Coturnix japonica: one gene and its partner. The protein of the gene in region 1 purifies or fractionates together with the protein of each later gene. This does not show direct contact. Links are inferred from orthologs where the notes say so. Each region holds a gene or a part of one and is shown on either strand. Other genes may lie near its edges.

Region 1 (3,813 bases):
AAAGACCAGTTCTAATGCTTTATCACTTCATAATGATAGTATAGCCAAGACTCTTTCCTGTTTGAAAGCTGAGAACTACGCCACTGCCACAGCAGCTGGAAATGTTTCACTAGATAAGATGGCTCAGTTTTCCCCAGCACTGAATAAATACAACTAAATACAGTGAGCAGTGAGGGTACAGGGAAGGGGAGGAGGGGGCTGCCAAACTCATCAGATAGCTTTATTAGTGTCAAGTTACTTTTATATTTGGTCAATGCGAAGGAAGAGCTGTCATTAAAAAAAAAATTGAAACAAAGACTTGTTTTTTAAAAATTATTTAGTATATGTACAAATAGATATCAGGCATCATTTCAGGGTGGAAAAAAATAAATCACTACTTCCTATTTTAAGTACTTAGAGTACAGAGATCAATGATAAAATTCAAGTGATAATTTTTTTCACCTAACATCAAATCTCTTCTAAATTAAACAATTAACAATGTTGGAATAAATTAATTTTTGAAAAGGAATTTCCTGGATTTTGGGGGAAACAAAATGTACAAAGATGGAAAAATGAAGACAACTTAGTGTTTAAAATAACATGCATATATTCACCCTAGCGATCTTCTCTCAATTCTGTTCAGAGAAAACACTTCTCAAAAACATCAGCTGCAAAATAAACTGTTTATTTAGTGTTCACTCCTCTACTAAACATAAACTAGGTCACGATTTTGAACCCCTCTACCTGCTTGTTCTTCATCATCAGACTGCTGGTCTGAGTTCTGCGAACTACTATACTCATACTCAATGGGCTTTGGATTGTTGTATGGGTAGCCATTGTCATCAAAAAACCTTCGGAATGTGAACTCATAAAAAGCATGTTCAGGATGTTTTCCATTTTTGTACCATCCGTTAAGCGTATCATTCACGTTTCCTTCCTTATCATCATCACTCCACAATTTATCTGGATCGACTGGATCAAAGTTTGACGTGTCCGTAGGATGAGCGATTTTGGGAATGTAGAAAGCTGACTGCCGCCGCAGGTCGCTCGAAAAATCAATAGTTTTAAAAAATGGATGAGCTTTTATTTCATCTGCACCGTTTTTGCCTAAACGATCTTCTGGCCCTCGGCATAGCTTAATAATAAGGTCAGAGGCCTCCGGAGTCAGCTTAGCTTGAGGTGGAATATGAAGGGAAGTTTGCCAGTTGATAACCTTTAAAGTAAGAAGATGCGTTATTTTATTTACAACTCCAGAAAAAAGAAAATCCCCTGTGAAAATTAAAAAAGTCACTCAACAGAAGTAATGCCTTCAGACTAATGGGGGCAAATGTGAAGCTGCTTTTCCAGAAGCAGAAAGAACACTTTGTGTGAAAATTTGGCACAATTCAGATAAAGTTTGTTCACAGCCCAGATCTGAACTAGAGTCTGGCATGGAATATGCCTGCCATAAACACACAAGATATCATAAAAAAAAACAACCGGTGCTTAACAGGGCCTACAATCTTCAAAGAAGGTGAGATGAATGAATTATTTCACCTATTGTAAAGACCAACAAATTTGAAGTTACACATCAATACAGAAGTACATTCGGGCCAACTATGGGAGTTGAATGCTGTTACATTAAAATGGCACTGCAGAATAACGCATTAGCCTTGTAGTCTCTCAACCAGGTGAGGTTGGAAAGGGAAAAACCAACAGCTCTGAGCTGCCAGCAACCCTAAGCAGACACACTCCTCCATTCTCACATGCTGAGCACCTGCAGATATTGCAAAAAAGAAATCTTCTGCAGATAAGTGAGCATGGAAGTTCAGTGGTAGAAGAACACCACTCAGATTGCTGGAAAATGAGAAGAAAGTGGAATTAATAACTTCCTGCACATACTTCTAGTTATAGAGGAAGGCTGAGAAATGAAACGTGATTTTACTTGTTACAACTGCAGCATAACCAGATAAAATACACAAATGTGATTCTTGAAGTCCCCTTACAAAATAAGCAGAGCACCACTATAACATTTAGAATCCTGCTAGCTCTTAACATCCTTAAAAAGAGCAGCACTCTCAAAAAAAATCCCCTTTGATTCCATTATAAATTAAAAGCATCATGTCCACTGCAACTCTGTTTTTTCAGCTTTTTCTACCTGCTACCATGAGATGTTTAAAATTACCTTCATTTGTGTTTCCAGAGGTGTTTGTGCCAGGAAAGGAGGCTGGCCCACTAACATTTCAAAGAGAATGACTCCAACACTCCACCAGTCACACAGCTGTGTGTAACCTGAAGGAAAAAGAAGTACTCAAAGCTTCAGCATGCATTTAATCCTGCAAGTTCACAAGATAATTCTATTCAATACATTTAAGATTTCCATATTAATACTCAAGATACACACTTGGGAAAAGCACTCATGTAAGAAATGTGAAGCTGCTACCTGAATGCCAGTTACGTTGCAGAAAGTTTGTGATAAAAAAATAAAAATAAACGCATTACCTGTTCGTAGCAGCACTTCTGGTGCAATATAATTAGGTGTGCCAACAAGGGAATGGGCCAGACAGCGCTGGTGCTGACGTGCAGCCCTACGTTCGAGTGGCTTCAGCCGATCTCCACACCTGCAGTTCGCTGGGTCACCCCATTCATTGCTGAAATCCATGCTGTCCTGACGTGCGTGATCACCTGCAAGTGTGTGAGAATAATGCCAAAATTGAGAAAGGCGATTTCAGAGCTCAACTAGAATGAAATTCTCTTCATTTATTATATTTTTATTACAAAATAGAAACTATTTCACTACTCAAGAAAAATATCTGAAATGTTTTAAAACATCAGGATTTTGACTTTTTGCTTATAATACAATCCACACCTGAGAAGTTACTTTTTAGCATAATTATGAGAAAGTTTGATTCTTAAGTTTTTTCTTAACATAACCATACTGACTGTACAGCATGTATATTGTTTTTGCTCTTACACAGAGAGAAAAACAACATTTAAAGCATCAATTGATGCTAATTACCAAAAAGATAAAAATCAATCAGGTTTTAAGCCTTCCAAGACATCAGTTTCAATCTCTAATATGGAATAACACAAACACTTCTGCTTTCTCTTGAGAGACTCCAAAGTAGCCTGGTCTAACAGTAACTCAAAGGTACTTTTTCAAATAAAAAGAAACCTCCAAGAATTAAAAAGTTAATTTTCGATTAATATATAATCTATATTTTATCACTCATGGAATTGTTTTTCTTTCCTCTTTTTTCAAACCACTGTTTTAAGTCATCAAGAAGGGTTTCAAAAGAAATCAACAGCTGCAAAGACATTCAGCAGATTTTCCAAGAACGATCAATCTAAAACATCAGCCCTACCTTCCAAATAGAGTTAGAGTTGTTATCTATGCAATTATGCCACTACATCTTTTCTCTCCAAGTTTCAGGAGGTAGTAATGGAACAAATTTTCAGCACCACAGTTTATTGCTTCTCTCTTAAGGAATCAGTGCCTACCTACACTCAGAAAGGCTCCCTAAACATTGTGCTCTGCAATTTGAATGGTGTGTAGAAACACTGTTAGATGCTTTAACATTTATGTTGGTAATGTTGCAGCCATCTTTTAACTCATTATTTAATTTCTTCAAAAGAATAACATTCCAACAACAAGTTTTATATTTCTCTTACCACTCTGGTAGTATTTTGAATCATGGGTCCATCGAAAACCTGTACAGAGTCCAAAGTCAGTCAATTTAATATGACCGTCACGATCTATCAAAATATTGTCAGGTTTAATATCTCTGTGGATGAAGCCCATTTTATGAACACTTTCAACTGCACAGGTCAGTTCTGCTGTGTAGAACCGTGCCA
Region 2 (4,603 bases), on another chromosome or scaffold:
GGTTCAGATGATCAGAACTGTGTTTGGAAATGCATTATTAGCTACTACATATTAACACCACTCCATATATTGCCCAGGGAGTGCTGGGCTCACCATCCCTGGGGGTGCTCCATTGCTGTGGGGATGTGGCACTGAGGGACGTGGGCAGTGGGCACAGTGGGGTGGGCTGGGTTGGGCTTGGGGGTCCTGGAGGGCTTTTCCAACCTGAATGGTTCTGTGATTCTACAAAAACAAGGGAGCCAAGCTTGATGTTAGCACTGGAATACAGGGGAGAAGCAGAGAAAAGGGATTCTATCTGTTCCTCTTCTCTCCCTATCCTGTCTCATCCACGTTTCTTTCTTCCAAACACCATCCTAACCACAGGAAAGGACTGGAGAATGATGGAGGAGAAACACAGTAGACAAAAAACCCAAATCTCATTGGAATGCTTGTGCGAATGAGTTCTCAGAAGTGCCTTTTGTCATTTCTATGCTGTACCGCTTTTGTTGCTGCAGGACAATTCAGGACAAACCCTTCCCAGGTGGGGGGAATGGTCACGGTGCTCCAACCAGTGTTGTGTTGCTTGTTGTGTCAGCTCAAGGGATAAGCAGCTCATCCCACAGTGTCAAGGCTACTGAAAATAAGCATAGAAACATGCAAACGTGCAAAGCATTTTGTGGTCTTTTGTGCATGAATGTGTCTCCTATGCACTACAGGCATTTTTCAGATACCAAAGTATTTAGCGATGTGGTAAGTCACTGAATTTCTGGGCCTCCTTGGTACAGCAGGGCTCGCCTGTTTGGCTATCAGTAACTGCACGGCCAGAAGGTGTTTTCAATGCTTTCAACTCTCATTTTATGAATCACTGTGAGAATAAAGGCATGTGGGTATCCAGGGCTGGAGTCTGGGGAGCAGGAGGGGGCAGAGGAATCGCACTCGTGTTAAATGGACGTGAGCTGAATTCACACCATTGAAGTACTACATGTCAATTTAGGATGGTATAAAAGCATGCTTTGCTACCTATATTCCCATTGCTACTTTGGGTACAAAGCAAATTGAATTAGTTCAGTTCTGGCTGGAAAAGGAAGGGTTGTAACATACTTTTAGCCAATGAATAGGCGAGGTGGAGCTGGGGACAGCCCAGCTCTGTCCATTACAACACAAACAGCATCACCAGCCCTCAGGTGTTCCATGCCTTCCTGCTGTGTGTGATGCTGGCACTGCTGACCTGTCTAATGCATAAATGGAAACAGTTGGTCTTTGGGTACGCTTGTTTTTGCTGCGCGTCGTCATGTGCTGACCTTACACCACCACGTGAAGGGGAAGGAGGGACCAAGCTGTGTGTTATTTATCATGAATGTAAAGAAATGAAATAAATCACTGTCAGATCCCTGCTTGTGGCTGGTTGTTTCCCATCCTTTATGGCAGGGCTGGGTGATGAATCTCGAACCAAGCAGAGTGCTGTACCGCCACACTCCTTCCGCTAGAGGGCGCTGTGACCGCGCCACCGCGACGCTCTGTCCCCGTCGTTCCTCCCGTCTCGTCTCCTCCCCAGGCGGGGCCGCCGCCCCACAACGCCCCGCGCCTAACGGCCCCGCCGCCCGCCCCACACACGGCCCCGCTGTGAGCCCGAGGGCGGCCCGGCCCTGCCCGAGCGGAGCCGGGTATGCGGGCGTTGGGAGCGGGCCGGGAGGAGGAGGTGGGATGTTGTCGAGGAAGAAAACGCGGGCGGAGCTGTCGAAGCCCGGCGAGGTGCAGGGGAAGTACGTGAAGAAGGAGACCAGCCCGCTGCTCCGCAGTGAGTGCCGTGCCGTGCCGTGCCGTGCCGTGCCGTGCCGTGCCGTGCCGTGGGCTCCACACGGCCGCGTTGTTCCCCCTCAGCCCGGCGCTCAGCTGCGCCCTCGCCCGGCCCGGCCCGCACCGAGCTCAGGGCTGGGGCTGGGCGGGGGGAGACACCGCGCTGCGGCCTGGGGGGGCTCTGTAATAAACGGGGGGGGTTGGGGCTCCGTGAGCCTTGAGCTCCCTCCCAAGCCGGGCCGCGCTTTGATTGTGTGATTGAGCTGGTGAGGTGTTGATAGGGCGGGATTCACGGGGCTTGGGCTGGATCTTGGTGTAACGGAGAGGTTTAGAGCCTGACTGATAAGGGGTGGGAGCTGTTTGTGTTGGCTTCTTTGGCTGTTAAACTGCGCTTCTTTGGCAATAGCTTCTGTTGCACATGGAGGGTGTGATGGCTTTTGTTGCTGCAGCCCTACTGTTACGCTGCTACACTGAGAGGTGCTTTAAGGGGGCTCTGGCATCAGAATGGAGTTACTTCCATGCTGTAAGTCAGACACTTTGGCTCGCCAAATACCATAAGTGCGTACAAAGCTCTCATTTCCTTTCTCTGCTGTACCAGATCTGATGCCTTCCTTTATCCGTCACGGTCCGACCATTCCAAGACGAACTGACATCTGCCCTCCCGACCCGAGTCCTTCTGCTTATGGCTCTGCTGGAGATGGAGCTGTTTCCAGAAACCAGAGTTTCCTTCGGACGCCGGTGCAGAGGGCGCCCCATGAAATAATGAGGCGTGAAAGCAACAGACTGTCTGCACCTTCCTACTTTGCTCGAAGTTTAGCTGACGTCGCTAGAGAATACGGCTCTTCCTCACAGTCCTTTCTGACAGAAACCAACTCGGTTATGGAAAATGGAGATGCCGGCACACGTTGTTACTATTATGATCACTTCTATGATGCCCAGAGGAGACGGCAATTGAATGATCGCTTGCATGAGGACTGCAGGTATTATGAGCACGGTGGGGAGCTTTTCCAGAGGATGGCTCACAACCATGGGAGGCGCATGTCAGGTGAGGATGGGTTCATTGTGCCCTTCACATATCACTGAACAGCTTTAGGTACATAGGATCCCAGAATGGCCTGGGTTGCAAAGGCCCACAGTGCTCATCCAGCTCCAACCCCTGCTGTGTGCAGCGTCACCAACCAGCAGCCCAGGCTGCCCAGAGCCACATCCAGCCTGGCCTTGAATGCCTGCAGGGATGGGGCATCCACAGCCTCCTTGGGCAACCTGTTCCAGTGCGTCACCACCCTCTGGGGGAAAAACTTCCTCCTAAGATCCAACCTGAACCTCCCCTGTCTCAGTTTCAAACCATTCCCCCTTGTCCTGTCACTGCCCACCCTCACAGTTGTTCCCCCTCCTGTTTATACACTCCCTTCAAGTATTGGATGCCCACTATGAGGTCTCCTTTCAGTCTTCTCTTCTCCAAGCTAAACAAGCCCAGAATATCATTGTGTCATTTGATTTTTGTTAATTTTATAATGAATTATTTATTGTGAAACAATGAGTAATGACTGTTTTGTGTAATCAGCAAATTGATGTGTAGTTAGTGCTAAAATTCACTTCCTAGTGTCTGAATTCTTTTTGGCTTATAATATTGTAATATTGTGAAGACAGGCTACAGGAGCTGGGTTTGTTCAGCATGGAGAAGAGAAGGCTGCGGGGTGACCTCAGTGCAGCCTGCCAGGACCTAAAGGGAGCCTACAGACAGGAGGGGAGACAACTCTTTACAAGGGCAGATAACAGCAGGACAAGGGGAAATGGTTTGGAGTTGAAGGAGGGAAGATTTAGATTGGATGTCAGGGGGAAGTTCTTTACTGTGAGAGCGGTGAGGTGCTGGAACAGCTGCCCAGAGAGGCTGTGGATGCCCCGTCCATCCCTGGAGCTGTTCAAGGCCAGGTTGGATGGGGCCCTGGGCAGCCTGGGCTGGTATCAATGTGGAGGTTGGTGACTCTGCCTGTGGTGGGGGGTTGGAGCTTCATGATCCTTGTGGTCCCTTCCAACCCAGGTCATTCCATGTCATTGAGGAAGAGTCATGATCACACACTTTCAGGGACCTGCTGCATTTTTCTTATGGAACAAGAGAATCAGAAAAGAAATCCCTTCAGTATTTGTTTTTGAAGTATTTGGTTATCTGTGATGACACAGAAGAGTCTTTTGTATGTCATGCTGCTGTCAATGTACTGAAAGAAGAAATGTGAGATGTCAGTGTTACCCATAGAACTGTGACCTTGCAGGCGGTGTTTGAGTGGTGTTTCTACTGCTGAAATGATGCTCAGGGAGGAGTTTGAGAGCAGCACTCCAGACCTTTAAATAATGCAGTGAAATATGCTGTTAGTTCATTGTTATTTGCAATCTGCTGGTAAAATTGTCAGCACTGAACTTGTGGGTGGAGCTAAAAAGCTGACAATGCTTTGCTGGTGGTGTTTGGTTTTTAATACAGAGATGTTCCATTGAAGCATGGCAGGAGAGCAGTGCTGGCATCGCTGCTGCCAGGCAGTGCAGATTGAGATGCTGATGTTTAAGACTTGCTGCTTCATCCTTAACTTTGCTCAGTGCTGCCTAATTACATCAGTTCTATTTAGACTGTGTGAAAACCCCTCCATCTCTGCTGGCTGCTCATCATTAAGCACGGATCTGTTTGTCTCCAGGCATTCTTAGCCTTTGGAAAACAAGGAGCTGCTGATGTGTGCTTGGTCTTTGTCACCTGTGTATGTTTGCAGTCAATAGCTTGGGCAGATTTGACATATTTCATAATGGATGGGCATTCAGTCTTGCTTATATGCAGGAAATA

Evidence for each region.
Region 2: the proteins of LATS1 (region 1) and SAV1 purify together in Homo sapiens (affinity purification with western blotting; 3 studies listed by BioGRID). This does not show direct contact. The link is inferred for Coturnix japonica from reciprocal best matches to the Homo sapiens genes LATS1 and SAV1.

The regions. Positions count from the first base shown.
Region 1 is NC_029518.1:43,371,833-43,375,645, forward strand, and holds part of LATS1 (serine/threonine-protein kinase LATS1), read right to left. Parts: coding exon 3,631-3,813; intron 2,644-3,630; coding exon 2,461-2,643; intron 2,251-2,460; coding exon 2,144-2,250; intron 1,193-2,143; coding exon 686-1,192; 3' UTR 1-685. UniProt on the Homo sapiens protein: Negative regulator of YAP1 in the Hippo signaling pathway that plays a pivotal role in organ size control and tumor suppression by restricting proliferation and promoting apoptosis.
Region 2 is NC_029520.1:52,524,689-52,529,291, reverse strand, and holds the start of SAV1 (protein salvador homolog 1), read left to right. Parts: upstream 1-1,540; 5' UTR 1,541-1,683; coding exon 1,684-1,777; intron 1,778-2,374; coding exon 2,375-2,821; intron 2,822-4,603. UniProt on the Homo sapiens protein: Regulator of STK3/MST2 and STK4/MST1 in the Hippo signaling pathway which plays a pivotal role in organ size control and tumor suppression by restricting proliferation and promoting apoptosis.